Drosophila melanogaster: one gene and its partner. The protein of the gene in region 1 interacts with the protein of each later gene in a pairwise test. Each region holds a gene or a part of one and is shown on either strand. Other genes may lie near its edges.

Region 1 (6,430 bases):
GCCCTGCAGACGGTGCCCAACATCGAGAAGGAGATTCAGAATGCGGAAAGCCTGATCAGCCAGGCGGAGGAGGCTCTCGATGGAGCCAATAAGAATGCCAACGAGGCCAAGAAGAATGCCCAGGAGGCGCAGCTGAAGTATGCCGAACAGGCTTCCAAGGTAAGTCATTCAGGGACATCTTATTATCCTTACTAAATTCGTAAAATTTCTTGACAGGATGCTGAGCTGATCCGCCGCAAAGCCAATGAGACCAAGGTGGCTGCCCGCAATCTGCGCGAAGAGGCCGACCAACTGAATCATCGCGTGAAACTCACCGAAATGGACATCTTCAAGCTGGAGGAGAGCTCGACCAAGGACGACAATCTGGTGGACGACGCCAAGCGAAAGGTGGGTCAGGCCAAGGCCGATACCCAGGAGGCCCAGAAGCAGATCGAGAAGGCCAATGCCGACCTGACGGCCATCAAGGATGAGCTGGAGAATCTGAAGGACATCAACACGGGCGATTTGGATAGATTGGGTAAGAAACAGAAACCTCTCTAATCTGAATTTACTTATGAGTAATCTAATTAATCTCGCAGAGAATCGTTTGGCCACTGTGGAGGGTGAGATCAATCGCGTCAACCTGACGGGACGCATCGAAAAGTACCGGGAACAGCGCACCATTCAGAAGAATCTGATCGACAAGTACGATGCCGAGCTGAGGGAGCTCAAGGATGAAGTCCAGAATATTGGACTTATTTCCAAGGCTCTCCCCGATAGCTGCTTCAGTCGCAATCGCCTGGAACCCTAGAGCTCTGCGAACAACCCCACTTCCCATAACAACTACTTCAATTTTAACTAAGAACGAAGATCTGAGACGAGACGAACAAATCAGATTTATGATAGAACGTAGACGTTGAATGAAATTATGTAATTTTAGTGCCTTAGCCGAAATATTCTGTTTAGTGACCCAGCCCAAGGATCCAAGGATCCACAAAGGAGACCAACTGAGCAACGTTAAGCTTTAACGCATCATCGTTCGCCTACTGTATGCCATATACTATAATGATACAACGGATACAAGAGGATGGATGATGGCCACATCGAGAATCAACTGCCAACTGTGCTTCACCAGTTTCAAGCCAGCAACGGACTGTATTATATGTTAAAAATGAGACACTAAACGAAACACACAAGACCTTGTACTCCCACAATCCGACAATCCAATCGCATATCTATATCTCTACCGTAGCTCCACCTGAAGTCTATTCTAAACACTTATATATTAACATATTTGTCATCTACGTTTAATGTGCCAATACAATTACCATGTATCTTTGTGTATAAGTCGCTTAAAGAGTTTCCTTTCAAAATATAACTTTTCCAACGTTGTAAGTTTGTAAAAATCCACCCTTTAAACTTGAACTGGGGAAATATAAGGATGCTCAAGCGAAGTGACGTTTTGAAGTCGAGGTTATTTTACTTTTTCATTCAGCTTTGATTTGCCATCACCCATTATAATCGAAACACAACTTAAAAAATATATAAATTTGAATATCTACATGTAAAATGTAACGTAAAGTAGAGTCGATGAAACGATAGACTTTTCGATAGTATACAAATTTCGACTTTCGATACTACTGATGCTACTATCGCTCGTTTTGCATATCTAATGCACGTGTTGTTTCAATTTGTTTGTAAACAAAAGTTTTCTTAAATGAGTTTTTAGCTGCAGACCGACAAATTAGCCACAAAAGATGTCACGAATTATAGTCAAACAGCTGCCCAAGCATGTGAGTATGTAGACTTGTTAAAAAAAAGCATCTACTTAAACTGAAATTGTAGATCACCGAAGACAAACTGCGTCAGATTTTTGGTGCCCAGGGCACGATTACGGATCTGCAACTAAAATACACGCCCGATGGAAAGTTTCGGCAATTTTGCTTCGTGGGTTACAGCACCGAGGAGGAGGCCCAATCGGCCATCCGGCACTTTGACAACACATGCATTCAGACCAGCCGGGTGCGCGTCGAATCCTGTGCTGCCTTGGGCAGCGAAGATAAGCCACAATCTTGGAGCAAGTACGCCAAGGACAGCAAGAAGAACCTAGACAAATTGAAGGAGAAGGAAAGGGAGGCGGCTGCCAAGGCTAAGGAGTCTGAGAAAAAGAAGAAGAAAGATAAAGTTGACAAGGTGGACCAAATTTTGAGCAGACACAAAGACGATCCGGAATTCCAAGAGTTTCTAGAGGCGCATGACAAGTCGCGAACGCTGTGGGGAAACGATTTGGGTATAAATAAAAATCGGGAGAACGAAGAAGAGGATGATGAGGAACAGGAAGAATCTCGAGCTGCCAGAGATGACAGTGGAGTGGATGCAGATGCAGGAGATGAGGATGGCTCAGGCGATGAGGCAGATGAGGAAGAAGACACCGATAAACTGGCCGAAAAGCCCATCAGCGATCTTGAGTATATGAAATCCCTGATGGCAACCACATCCGGCGAAGCTACTGCAAAGAAACCCAAAGCCAAGGCGGATAAATCAAATTTGGAGCTGTTCACCATTAAAATACACAATGTACCATACAACACCAAGCGCCAGGAGGTGCTAAAGTTTTTCAAGCCCCTGAAACCGTACTCCGTTCGGCTGCCCAGCAAAGTTCACGGCTTCTGCTACGTGGGTTTTAAAACTGAGAAAGACATGGCCAAGGGAATGCTTAAAAACAAGAGTTTCATCAAGGGCAAGCAAGTATTCTTCTCCGACTTTACAGAGAAGAACAAGGTGACCAAAGCGAGCAAGAGTGGACAACCATTGGCACCAGCCGCCGTCGATGCGGGCAATGCGAAGTGGAAGCATCAGCAGGACAGTTTATCCAAAGAAGATGACATCTCCGAGTCCGGGAGGATATTCTTTCGTAATCTAGCATACACTACTACCGAAGAGGATCTGCGCAAGCTTTTCGAGCAGTTCGGTCCCGTGGTGGAGGTTAACTTGCCCCTCGACAAGCTAACGCGAAAAATCAAGGGCTTTGGTACAGTTACGTACATGATGCCGGAGCACGCATTAAAGGCTTTTAATACCCTCGATGGCACTGATTTCCATGGCCGTCTCTTGCACCTTCTGCCCAGCAAGGACATCGAAAAGAATCCGAAAGAGGATTTGGATGAAAACGATGCCAGTCTGTCATTCAAAGAAAAGAAGGCCTTGAAACTCAAGAAGAACGCCCAAAAACCAATTGGCTGGAACACATTGTTTCTGGGTGCCAATGCTGTTGCAGAAATTCTCGCCAAGCAATTCAAGACCTCAAAGGAACGCATCCTGGACACAAGCGATGGTGGCAGTAGTGCCGCCGTGCGCTTGGCTTTGGGAGAAACCCAAGTCGTCATCGAGATGAAGCGCTTCCTGGAGGAAGAAGGCGTTCGTCTTGATGCATTTGATGAGCCCGCAAAGAAACGTTCTAACACTGTTATACTAGCCAAGAATTTGCCAGCGGCCACAGAGATTTCAGAGATTACCCCCATCTTTAGTCGATTTGGCCCAATTGGCAGGATTGTGCTTCCTCCCAGTGGGGTTACGGCACTTATCGAGTACTGTGATCCTTTGGAGGCGAGGCAAGCTTTCAAGAAGTTGGCCTACAGTAAATTCAAGAATGCCCCACTCTATTTGGAGTGGGCTCCCGAGCAGGTCTTTACCAAGACCCTTAGTGGAGAGCCAGTGATTCCCAAATCGGAACCGAAACCAAAGGAGGAGGTAAAGCCAGAGGAGAAACCGATTGTAAATGATGCGAAACCTGACGAGGAGGATTCTAGGGCAGAGGATGCCGATGATGAACCCGAACCGAATACAACACTATTTCTACGGAACCTTAACTTTAAAACCGTACAGGAAACCGTTGAGAAACACTTCCGCCATTTGGGTAGCATTCACACTGTTGAAATTGCTAAGCGAAGGGATCCCGAGAATCCCCGGGAATTCAAGTCCCTTGGCTACGGCTTCATTCAGTTCAAGAAGTCCTCAGTGGCAGAGCACGCTCTCAAGAACTTGCAGCTCACCCACATAGATGGTAATCCCGTGGAACTGAAGCGCAGCGATCGTGTGCTCAAGTAAGCCTCGGAAAACCGAACTTTACTTTTTCTTTGCTAATGGGATAATCTTTTCCAGAACCCAAGATAATGATGGCGCACAACGTCGACTGGCCTCACAGAAGAAGCAAACGGGAACCAAAATCCTGGTGCGAAATATTCCCTTCCAGGCACAATACCGCGAGGTTCGAGATATATTCAAGTACGTATAGGTCATACCGGTTAGGAAAAATTCTAATCCGTGCTTTTAGGGCTTTTGGCGAACTGCGATCCTTACGTATTCCTAAAAAGGCGACCACGGGCGAGGATGCGCATCGTGGTTTCGGTTTCGTTGACTACATGTCCAAGGCGGAGGCCAAACGCGCCTTCGACGCCCTAAGCGCCAGTACGCATCTTTACGGTCGTCGTTTGGTGCTTGAGTGGAGCGCCAACGACGACAACCAGGACGTGGAGGAGCTTCGCAAGCGAACGGCAGCCAAATTCGATGGCAGTCAAGCGGCCACTGCGGCCAAACGCAGTAGAAAATCCTTCTTCGATGTGGAGGGCAGTGTGCAGCCAAATCAAGATGACGACGAAGAGGAGGAGCAATAGGCCTCAGGCGTAGCTTGAAAGTGTAGAAAGAACACGATATAATAAATAGAAATTGTTATTTTTATGAACAAAACTGCACGACTCTGTTTTAATAACTGCAAGTTACTATCGAATCCGTAACCGCAATAACGAAATAGTTCCAAGTAAGTACTAGGAAACCTATTTGTTGTTCATGTTGCGCAGGAGCAGAAAGAAGTTTGCACTCAACCGAAAGACCTGAAAGTGGAATCTTAATATGGTATGAAATAAAAGACAATTTCAATACAATACCTGCACTAGGAACTTGTGGGAGAGACTTGTAAACCCACCCACGCTTAAAACAAAAGTTCGGCGTGAGAAAAGCAGCATCATTTTGATCATGAACTTGAATTCCCTTGACTCATTATACCAACTACAGTTGTACCAGTCATGGAACAGCAGTTCACTCTAAAAATACAATAATTCCTTACATAAAAATTGAAATTATACAATATAATATACCTGGCTCTCCACCTTCTGTGCACTCACGTTGTACAGAGTGATCTCCAGAGCTATGGTCACAAAGTAGACCATAATCATGCCCATCCACACCCAGCCCACTTCCTAATGAAACAATTTTTAAATAAAAAGATTTGTAAATTCTATAGCTTATCAATCAACTCACCAAAACCGTGCTGATCTTGTAGAGCAGCATGCAGATCAAAATACTGCTAACGGAACACTGAACCAGGATGATATACTTGAAGAGGTTTTCAATTTGATTATGATGGCTAAATGAAAAGTGGTTTGAAGAGTTAGTTTTAAGAAGTCTATCCTCTCACCTTGATATGCGAGCAAAAAGCCTCACGCAACATTGAAGATATTTAACTCTTTGGTCCTTGGGAACCAGGATATCCGAGGTGGAATTTTGGACCAGAAACCTTAGGACTTTTATCAGACCAGACTCATATCTGGTAAGGACCACGAAAAGGCTGTTAAAGCCAAAAACGGCTTAAGGGAAAAGTTTTTTAATTATTATTCAAGTTAATAACTTAGCAGACCCACCAAAAAAGCACCAAAGAGGACCAGATTGAAGTAAAAAGAAGCGAATCACATAGGAAGGAAATTCATAATTTCCCAATTGCAAATAAGGCACAATTGCCGGGTAAGCTGTAATATACATATATTAATTAAATCAGAATGTTGAAGTGGTACCCTTAGTTTGCCTACTCAAGGTCATTTCACAGGTATCCTTGTCCTTGATATAGCAATCGAAGATATATTGAAAGTATGGTCGCACACAATAGTATAGAACAGGCATGCAAACGATCTTGAAGAAGAACATCACCTGACGATCGATTATCATCCAATTGTTAAGCAAAATCAAACTAACTGAGCTCAGCAGTTCCTTTTTTCTCGGCAAATCTGTTTTTGAAATGTTTCGAACATATTAAAGAACAGATATCACTGACTCTACTGTCTTACCCAATTGAAAAAGACCCAGGGACTTTAATACCTCTCCAGTCTCCGTAGAAAACACTAGTTGGGAACACGATTCCACTTTGTTCTGAAAGTGAAACATCTTAACCACACCAACGCTTAATTGAAAGGTAAGCAAAACAGCCTAATAGAATATATAAAGAATTAGAAGTGCGCAGATTAGGAATAAGGCACATTAAACCAAACCTCAACGTAGGTCTCGAAGGAGATCATATAGTTCTCCATAATAAAGGCGACGAGACTGTAGATTATACTCAAGTTAACAATCAACACCAAAATGCGAGTTCTGGATAAGAAAGACCCTAATTTAACAAAAACAA
Region 2 (8,764 bases), on another chromosome or scaffold:
CGCTGATCGAAAAGCAATCGAAAGCCATTGCGCCCAAGTGAGAGTAGCGTCATCAAGACATCTAGTGACTGGGAACCACTAGCTCTCCCAGCATAAGTACTGGCCACATCGTGGAGCACACTCTCATTGAAGCTGGCCACAATGGCACTACCCACTGGCACCAGCAAATTCTTGTCGCTGCTCTGAACGAAGTAATCAATGCGTCCGACTCGATTGGCGCACTCCAACTGATTAACGATTTCCTTTGCCTGCAATCCATAGGCATTATTGACCAGATGGGGAATCTGCCATTGTTTGGACAACTTGGATACTTCGGCAATGTCATCGCTGTTTCGTGGAGCAAAACAACTGGTGGTAGTGTACAGGCAGAGGATGCTATCCACTCCCAATGACTTTATCTTTTCTCGGAATAAATCTACGTTCGTGTTCAGGGACTCTCCTTTAATAAGGCAGGGGATGACTACCGGCACCAAGCCCGTTGCTGTGATGGCCTTGAAGCAGGACTTCTGATCGATGCGGGACCAGAGCACATACCGCGCCCCGGGTCGCCGCTTGCGAAGACTCTGCAGGCACAAAGTCAATGTCATGCCTGTACACATTGGCACCAAAAAGCAGCCAGCACAGCTGGGCAGTCCGATTCCCCGAATAAGGTCCAGAATCAGGGCGTTTGTGAGACGAGCGAGCAGCGTAGAGCCAGCTGCCTTGGGTTGTGCCTCTAGTAAGTCTCCAGATCTGCCGATACCATGACCGAAGTTGTAGTGACGGCGAGCCACGAGTTCTGAATGACAAATTCATTACGGGGGATATCGCCTCCTGATCCCTTACTTACTGCAGGCTATACGCGCCTCCCGCTCTCCTAAACCGACCTTATGTGGATAGTTATTGCTGTCCAAGGAAGCCAGCATGTGCACCAGCTCCTCGATACGTTCATCGGACCAACCATTTTTCGGAAGCTTTCGCTTGAAAAGAAGAATTATCCATGGAGTTATCAATTAATTTGGGTTTAATTTCGGTTTGATTACCTTTTCGAGCAGCTCCTTAAAACTGCGCTGCTTACTGCGTTGCGCAGCCAGTCCCAGTTGCAAATAGTTGTCCGGCACTAGTTTCTCTGGTATATTGACCTGCTCAAAGTTCATTTGGCTTTTGGATAATGTAAATATAAACTAAAAGTAAACAATGTCTATCGCCGCTTTCAGGTGCGCAAAAAAAAAACAGTTAAATTTTCTTACTGAGCAAGTAAGGCGGCGATGCCATATTGTTTAAATAGCTGACAAATGGACACCTTTCGATTTTGTTTAAAGTGGAGGAAAAATATATAATATATACAAAGGCGTATTTTCGAAAATAAACTCCTCGCAACGCTACTAAAATGGACTTAACTTAATTTGTTGAATTTGTTAAGGTTAAATATGAATTTTGTTAATGCAAACATGACTTTTGTGGAATCTTTGATTCCGTTAAATGTCCGGCAGCGCTGCACCATTTTCAGGTCCGGTTAGTGGGGCCAGCCAACAGCTTCACCAAAATGTTGCCACCTTTTGGACACCTTAGTGAGCTCTGTACCATTGCGTACGAAGCAGGCCACGGTCATACCGCAAGTCATCCAGAAGAAGCAGCCCAACAGCTACGCAAAAAGTTACTTTTATTCGCAGCAAAACAGATTTTTTTGTTTTAATCGTAAGTATAGGAGTGAAAAATAGCGCTAGAGTAGACCTAAGTACACAGAAAGACAAATAGGGCGAGTAAAATCGCGGTCCTGGTCATTTCTCTGGCCTTGACCAATCCTTTGTCTGCGCTTTCGTTGGAAAAGGGGTTATGTACGAACTGCGTGCGTACCTAAGGCCAGATTAGTCATCGGGCAGTCATATATTCATGCAAAAAATCATTTGGTGGCCGTCGGCCTTTGTTCGACTGTACCTTGCTCATTATTTAATAAGCGCGACAGCAATATACACACTTTGAACCCCCATCCCACATTTTTTCTCACCGTTTCCCCCTAATTTTCGTTTTCCCTGTGCCCATCATTCCGCTTTCGCCATGTCAGTGTATCGCTTCAAAATGGCGCCGAACCACATGTCTTCGTTCTCGGCTCGTCCGCTTCGTTCGTGCGCTCGTGTGTCGTCTCATTCGCTCTCCGAATTTCGTTTAACAAAGTGGTGCGAGCAGAGGGGCGCTGGATTCGAGGCAAACAACACATATACCTAGTAACCGATTGTGATAGCTGTTAAAAATAGAATTCCGGACGTAGTCTGAGCAAAATTGTTAACGTTTATTTTGAAGGCATAAAAGTAAATTCCGTTACAAAAAATTATATTTTCTATTTGCTCTCCCCTTTTCTTTGTTGTTGTGTGTGTGCGTGCGTGTCAATTTTACCGTGCAAAAGCTCGCTCATAAGAAAAGAGAGGTAAGAAAAGAAGGGATCTGCCATCTGTCTCTTTGTTTTTCGTCGACTCGAGTGAGAAGCATTAACCAGCCAGCGCTTCGTGAGGTTAAATTAAATTACATATTCTCGCACGTTCGTTAGTTGTGAAAAAGCAACAGGCACACACACACACACATACACACTACACTCGCACACGACTGATTTCAATTGATTGCAAGGACACGCGGAAGCGGCAAACACAGGGCCAGACTTAATATCCTTGGGTGAAAGCGTAAGTTGCCGTTCCTTATATGTACCAATGTGTACTTGATAGCCTAGATAATTTAATTTTTGCGTTTTCGCTGCTATGACAATTTTCCCGGCCAACTAGCACACAGTCATCGGCGCGTTTTTATGTGCACTACATGCACAATGACCTCATTTCCCCAGCGCGCTACCTAACACAAGTAACCACGTCAAAATTTCACTTTATTCTGCGTTTCTATGTCGATTTCTTGGTCGCCTCACCTCTCAATTCTTTTTATTTCTTTTGTCGACATTATCAAACTGTAAAATGCACAGTGGGTATGTGTGTGTGAAAAAGAGAGATAATTAAAAAGAGATGTGAAGTGTGCCCGTTCTCCGCTCTTGAATGTGTGTGTTTAAAGCACATGTACGCTGGCATTTTTAGGTTAAGGCTTTCTTAGGCTCAGTTTTCACTAGAGTTTCCACTTAAACGCCGGTCATAGGTGAAAATGTTGTAGTTTGATTATGAGCGCAACGAGAATACATATACAGGGAACGGTTTTCCACCGCTTGGAGACCACCTTAGTCATCTTACACTAAAATTAAGATAAATCTAAAAATGAATCTAGTGGCCATGATAATTTAGTCTGGTCAGAAATAAAAACTTACAGGGGCAAACCAAAACCGCTTCCATCTCTGATCCACATTTACCTTTGCAGCAATTTATTGTATGAGTCAAAAAACTGAAAGACCAGTGCTATCGGGTCAACGCATCAAGACCAGAAAAAGAGATGAAAGAGAAAAATATGACCCAACGGGATTCCGTGATGCGGTCATTGCTGGTCTCGAAAAAACTGAAGGCGACCTGGAACAAATCTCTAAATATCTAGACAGCGCGGGCAACAAGCTCGACTATCGTCGCTACGGTGAAGTTCTCTTTGACATATTGATTGCAGGAGGTCTACTAGGTAAGTTTTCCGCTGCAAGTAATGTGTTTAGTCTCTTCACTGACCCTTTTCCATCCTCGTTTCAATTGCAGTGCCTGGTGGTTCTATATCTCAGGATGGCGAAAAGCCGCGCACAAGCTACTGCATCTTCGATGCGCCCGAGAGCATGGAGAGCATGCGCAACCATGAGCAGGTTTGTAATCTTTTAGCAGGTCATACTTAAATTATGATTATGAGTAAACGAAAATTGGTTTGATTGCAACACAAGTTGAGCTCTTGTTGTTTTCCAAGCTAAAACGTTTATTTACTACTAAATGATTTTCTTCGGATCCACTTAAAAGTATGAAATTCGTGAAGTGGCTGCATATCATTAGAGCTGACTATAAAGTTTCAAAAATGTAATCGGTGTCAAGAATATGCAATAACAATCAACACATTTACTTGTCTTTGGTTTGTCCTAAACACTAACGTTCTGAAGATTTCTTATGTGTCAACAACTACTCTTTATTCAACACTATATATATATACTATATGCATGCAACCACTGCGAAGGTCACGCTATTGAATCAAAGTGCATATTATTAGAACCGGTTATGCATCTCAACAACTCAATCGGTGTCAAAATATGCAAAATAAAAAGCCACATTTTACTTGTCTTTATTTTGTAAAATTACTACCGCCAGCAATCTAAAGATTTCTAATGTTGCAACAACAAATACAAAAGCCTCCTGCGTGAGAACACAGTAAAATTTCACCATCCGCTAACAGGGGCAATCACACTTTACCTTTTCCAGGTATTTGTCAAGCTCATCAGACGGTACAAGTACCTTGAGAAAATGTTCGAAGAGGAGATGGGAAAGGTTCTATTATTCGTAAAGGGCTTTACTCCTAGTGAACGCATCAAGCTTGCGCGTATGACAGCGCTCTGGTTAGGTAAGTCTTAACATTTATGTTCCTGTTCCTCCTGTGCATTGCTTGCGTCTGCCCATTCGGTCTTTCAATTAGTTGTTTCGATAAACACTTGTTCAACTTGCAGCTGAGGGGCTAAAGTAATCCTTCACTTGGTATACTGACTCTTGGATGAACTAACCACATCTAAGGGCCACGAGCCCAAGGACAGGATTGCTAGCCGGCCGTCTAAACTTGTTTTGCGAAAACATTTGACTAACCCTATATTTAACCCTATTTTTGATCAACAGTCAACGGTTCTGTACCGCCAAATGTTTTACTGGTACTAAACAACGAGCACCTAATCAAGGATGGCATTGCATTGGAGTTTCTACTAGAGCTGTTCCAGACGTTCAAGCAAGAGAAGGGCATTGCATATCTGATTCAGGCGCTTAAGAAGGGTGGACTGGAAAGCAAGTAAGTTTTTAGTTGTGATTTGTTTTTAGCCCCGGAATGTTCTCAGGAAGATGACTCAATGATCCAGTTGTGCATCTTTAATTGATATTCCTAGAGTAAGAAAGTTCGACGGAGTTTTACCCAATTCGCAAATGACCTTTCGCTTCATTTGGGTGCTGATTTAATTTCGTACACCTCAATACGTCATTTAAGGTTGATTATTGAATGCGTTAACTTAAATTATTAATAATGGTTCCACTTTTTCACGTTTTTCCAGACTTATGGACTTTTTCCCACCGAACAAACGTACTGAGGAATATTTTAAACAAGTTTTTCTTGACAAAGAACTTAACGAGATCGTCAAGCTACATAAGGCTCAGGCTAGCCAGGAGGCGAAGCGTGAGTTGCAGCAGGCGCTCATCGATGATATCAACGATGAGAAGCCATATAATGAGATAACCTCAGACATTAAGGACTTCTCGCAGCGCACCAACATTCCCGATCATGAAATAATTGTTATTGTAAGTCGATGCGTAAATAATCCAACTGGATGATTTCCTTACTAAATCTCATGTATGATCTTTACCAGATTTGGTCCACCATCATGTCATTGGGCGAATGGAACAAGAAGGAGGAGCTGGTTACCGATCAGGCTGTTCGTCATCTGAAGAACTACTGCCCACTGTTGCAGGCTTTCGCCTCGACCGACCGTTCGGAATTGGCCCTAATCTTGAAGGTGCAGGAATTCTGCTACGAGAACATGAACTTCATGAAGGCCTTCCAGAAAATCATTTTGTTGTTCTACAAGACCGAGGTCCTGTCCGAGGAGATCATCTTGCGCTGGTACAAGGAGGGCCACTCAAACAAGGGCAAAATGCATTTCCTTGAACAAATGCGAAAGTTTGTCGAATGGCTTCAGTCAGCCGAAGAAGGTTAGTATGTTTTGATAAATGTTATCAGCGTGCAATTTTTGAGAATGGTCTTGTCTTAAATAGCTTGATTCTGGTACGTAATTGCAAGAGAAATTTGGGTTTTTTGCTTGCCTCGTTGATTTCCATTCACTGAACAACGTAGGCCAATGAAAACCTGGACAATATAAATATTCAAATTTTGCTTCCTTCGAAACTTTACACAGTGCACTTTTTGAGAATGGTCTTGTCCTGGATGACATTTTCATTGTACAAAATTGCAAGAGCATTTGAGTTTTTGCTTGCCTTGTTGCCTCACAAAATCCGAGCATCAAAGGCCAATGAAAACTTGGACACAAATAGCTGACTTCACCGAGCATGCTTCTTACCAAGCTTTTAAAGTGTTCCCATTATTAGGAACCAGTTTTAAAGGGTTCATGTACAGTATGCAAAAGCGAAAGAATGATTGGGTGCCCATATAACCCAATGCCGTGGTTAATTTGGCCAATAATCGTTTGGACAGCTGCATTTGTCCTAGTCCGCATGCACAATCCCCTCATAAAAGCTCCGAATGGTTGCTTCATTCGATTGAGCCAAGCGGGGAGTTGTGCCAAAGCATTTGAATGGTTGGGTGTCCAGATAACTTTCCATAGTTAAATTTGGCCAATAATCATTTGGACAGCATAACCGGAGCTGCACATCTTTTCAGTTTGTACCAATTGAAGCCCCCATACTAACATTTTGTATTCTATTCTCTTTCAGAATCCGAATCTGAGGACGAACAAAAGAATGGCGAGTAAGAACTTGGTTGATGGCTAAATGAGGATGAACACAAACGGAGCCGCCCTTTAGCATCCCCATCCAAAAATTCGAAACCAGCACCTGCAACAGCCAGTCGAACTATATATAAAACTCACCCCTATGAATTAATGTCATTTTGAAAACTCCACCTATATAAAACTCAAAAATTCCAACAAATAAAGGAGAGAGTAAAAAAAACATGCTAGAAACTAAACGTTTGCAGTCCAGTCTGATATCATTCACGAATCTACACTTAGTTCCCGTTTGCAATATACCGGCAAACCCATACTATATATGTTAATAAAAGTTTGAAGTGGAAACAGCAGCACGCTCCAAATTAATAGAGAACATCTGACCGCCAATAACGTCGACTACTACGACCTGCAGTGAGGTAGCTGGAGTTCCGCGGAGTTGATGCAACAAATAAAAAACCAAAAGAGATACCACAGAGATGCTTTGTGTGAATTCGGGGATGTGTTCCGTTTGCATGTTCGCATTATTCATCAATAAATTTTCCTCATATATGCGTTTAACAAGTAGTACTCACTCTCGAAGGATTTGCCACGGCGATGAAAGGAAATTAACAAGTTATATTTGAAAGATCAATATCATTTAGCAAAGTTTCGTCGAACAAAATCTATGGATTTACGAAATATAAGATACATGGACTTAGCACATGTATACGTATAAAACCATTAAACAACCCAAAGTATTTAACTGAAACGCTGAGAAAGCATTGTATTTAAATTTGATTGGCATATAGGGGCATATTTTTGTTTAACAAATTTAGTTGGCATTATGAGGGGTCTAACTTCAAATCAGTTTTTTAAGGTCTTAAAAAGATGTGGTCCGATTCTATATTTAAAAGTTTGACAAAAAACCAAATCCGAATGCTGGATCCCCATTTCTGCAACTTCGAATATTTTGTACGTTTATTGTTACAGACATGGCCAAATCTAGTCGTCATTCATTTGTGACAAATATTACAAGTTTTAAGAAGTTACCTTTTTTCTTTTTGTATTACTTACATTGAATAAGACATATCCCGAAAAGTATGCAGCACTATTTTGGTTCGGAAGATACAATGTTTGAGATACGCTTTACTCGTCTAGTTTTAGTTCAACGGAAAGGCATCTTCTAAAGCAAACTCGTGGTGCTTCCAAGTTACAGGAATCTGCGAGTTTAGTCCAGACCTTCTGGCTTTTTTATGTTCTAGGTTTTCATACAAACATGAGCAAGTTGACTCTGCTGATCAAGAATATGGGTGTACTTAATTAAGACTTATTTGAAGTCCTAGATTGAATTTCTTAAAATAGTTTACCCCATGTCTTGTTTTTAGGATCATTAGAACATTGCAAAAGGAAGTTGTTATACAGTTAAGTTTAGTTTTTGGAAATACTGTTTTTTATTCAACATAAATTTTGTTTAAAAGTAATTTTTCTTGCATTTTGTATTTCATGTAATGTATATAGTACTCGATGTTATATAATAACGCATATGCTACTTGTATTTGTTTGCTAATCTTGTAGTTATTCATCATATTGAACTTGGTAACTTGGTTAGAAAATGAGCTTGAAGAATACACTATGAACATTGGCGAACATGCGAATACAAGGTTCAAATTTACTGTAGCTCCTGCTCCTGTATGCTAGTCGTGTGTTTGAACATGGTGTGTTGATTTTTAGAGCCTGATATGATGGCGCAGCGTCAGGTGGAAACGGTGGCAGTTCGGCAGTCCCCTAAATTGCAAAACTAATTTCCATTTTTCTATATTTTCTTTAAGTAGTTATATGAGGGTGTGAAAGCTGCACTTGATGGTCAGGTCAACAAACTTAGCTACTTGGCAAAACTTCATCGTCGTTGGTGCATGTGTAATGAATGGGTATTAAGTGTCGCGTGCTAAGCAGTGTGTATTCTCTACTCTCGGTATCTCAACAACAACAGACATTGATGATTTTCGGGGCTTTCGTTGAGCCAGTGGCAGTTGCACAAGCGTCCGTTGCCCTCGAAGAAGCGAAATCGGGGGTTTAGGTCCATTTCGGTGCTTCGCTGAGCAACAATGCTGTGTGGTCGCATGCGCAACCTGCCAGCGGCTCTGTAAAAGGGGCGATCCACTGCCGTTGTTCCTCCTGAACGCTGCACTTGATAATTACGAA

The links.
Region 2: the proteins of CG3335 (region 1) and kra interact in a two-hybrid assay, tested with the Drosophila melanogaster proteins (one large-scale study listed by BioGRID).

What each region holds. Positions count from the first base shown.
Region 1 is NT_037436.4:9,622,601-9,629,030, forward strand, and holds CG3335 (uncharacterized protein), read left to right. Parts: upstream 1-1,636; 5' UTR 1,637-1,736; coding exon 1,737-1,772; intron 1,773-1,824; coding exon 1,825-4,082; intron 4,083-4,140; coding exon 4,141-4,263; intron 4,264-4,312; coding exon 4,313-4,652; 3' UTR 4,653-4,721; downstream 4,722-6,430. Other genes in the region: LanB2 (laminin B2), read left to right, coding at 1-159, 217-517, 579-790; Or67b (odorant receptor 67b), read right to left, coding at 4,812-4,868, 4,923-5,078, 5,133-5,234, 5,296-5,401, 5,453-5,621, 5,676-5,780, 5,841-6,035, 6,096-6,234 and 1 more.
Region 2 is NT_033777.3:5,593,928-5,602,691, reverse strand, and holds kra (krasavietz), read left to right. Parts: upstream 1-1,555; 5' UTR 1,556-1,677; intron 1,678-2,120; exon of another isoform or gene 2,121-2,654; intron 2,655-3,118; exon of another isoform or gene 3,119-3,327; 5' UTR 3,328-3,338; coding exon 3,339-3,576; intron 3,577-3,647; coding exon 3,648-3,748; intron 3,749-3,914; exon of another isoform or gene 3,915-4,054; intron 4,055-4,125; exon of another isoform or gene 4,126-4,269; intron 4,270-4,349; coding exon 4,350-4,488; intron 4,489-4,534; exon of another isoform or gene 4,535-4,677; intron 4,678-4,754; coding exon 4,755-4,920; intron 4,921-4,952; exon of another isoform or gene 4,953-5,096; intron 5,097-5,176; coding exon 5,177-5,420; intron 5,421-5,488; coding exon 5,489-5,831; intron 5,832-5,860; exon of another isoform or gene 5,861-5,995; intron 5,996-6,033; exon of another isoform or gene 6,034-6,166; intron 6,167-6,182; exon of another isoform or gene 6,183-6,332; intron 6,333-6,351; exon of another isoform or gene 6,352-6,491; intron 6,492-6,569; coding exon 6,570-6,607; 3' UTR 6,608-7,328; downstream 7,329-8,764. Other genes in the region: SecS (Sec synthetase), read right to left, coding at 1-778, 830-959, 1,023-1,136. UniProt on the Drosophila melanogaster protein: May be involved in memory formation.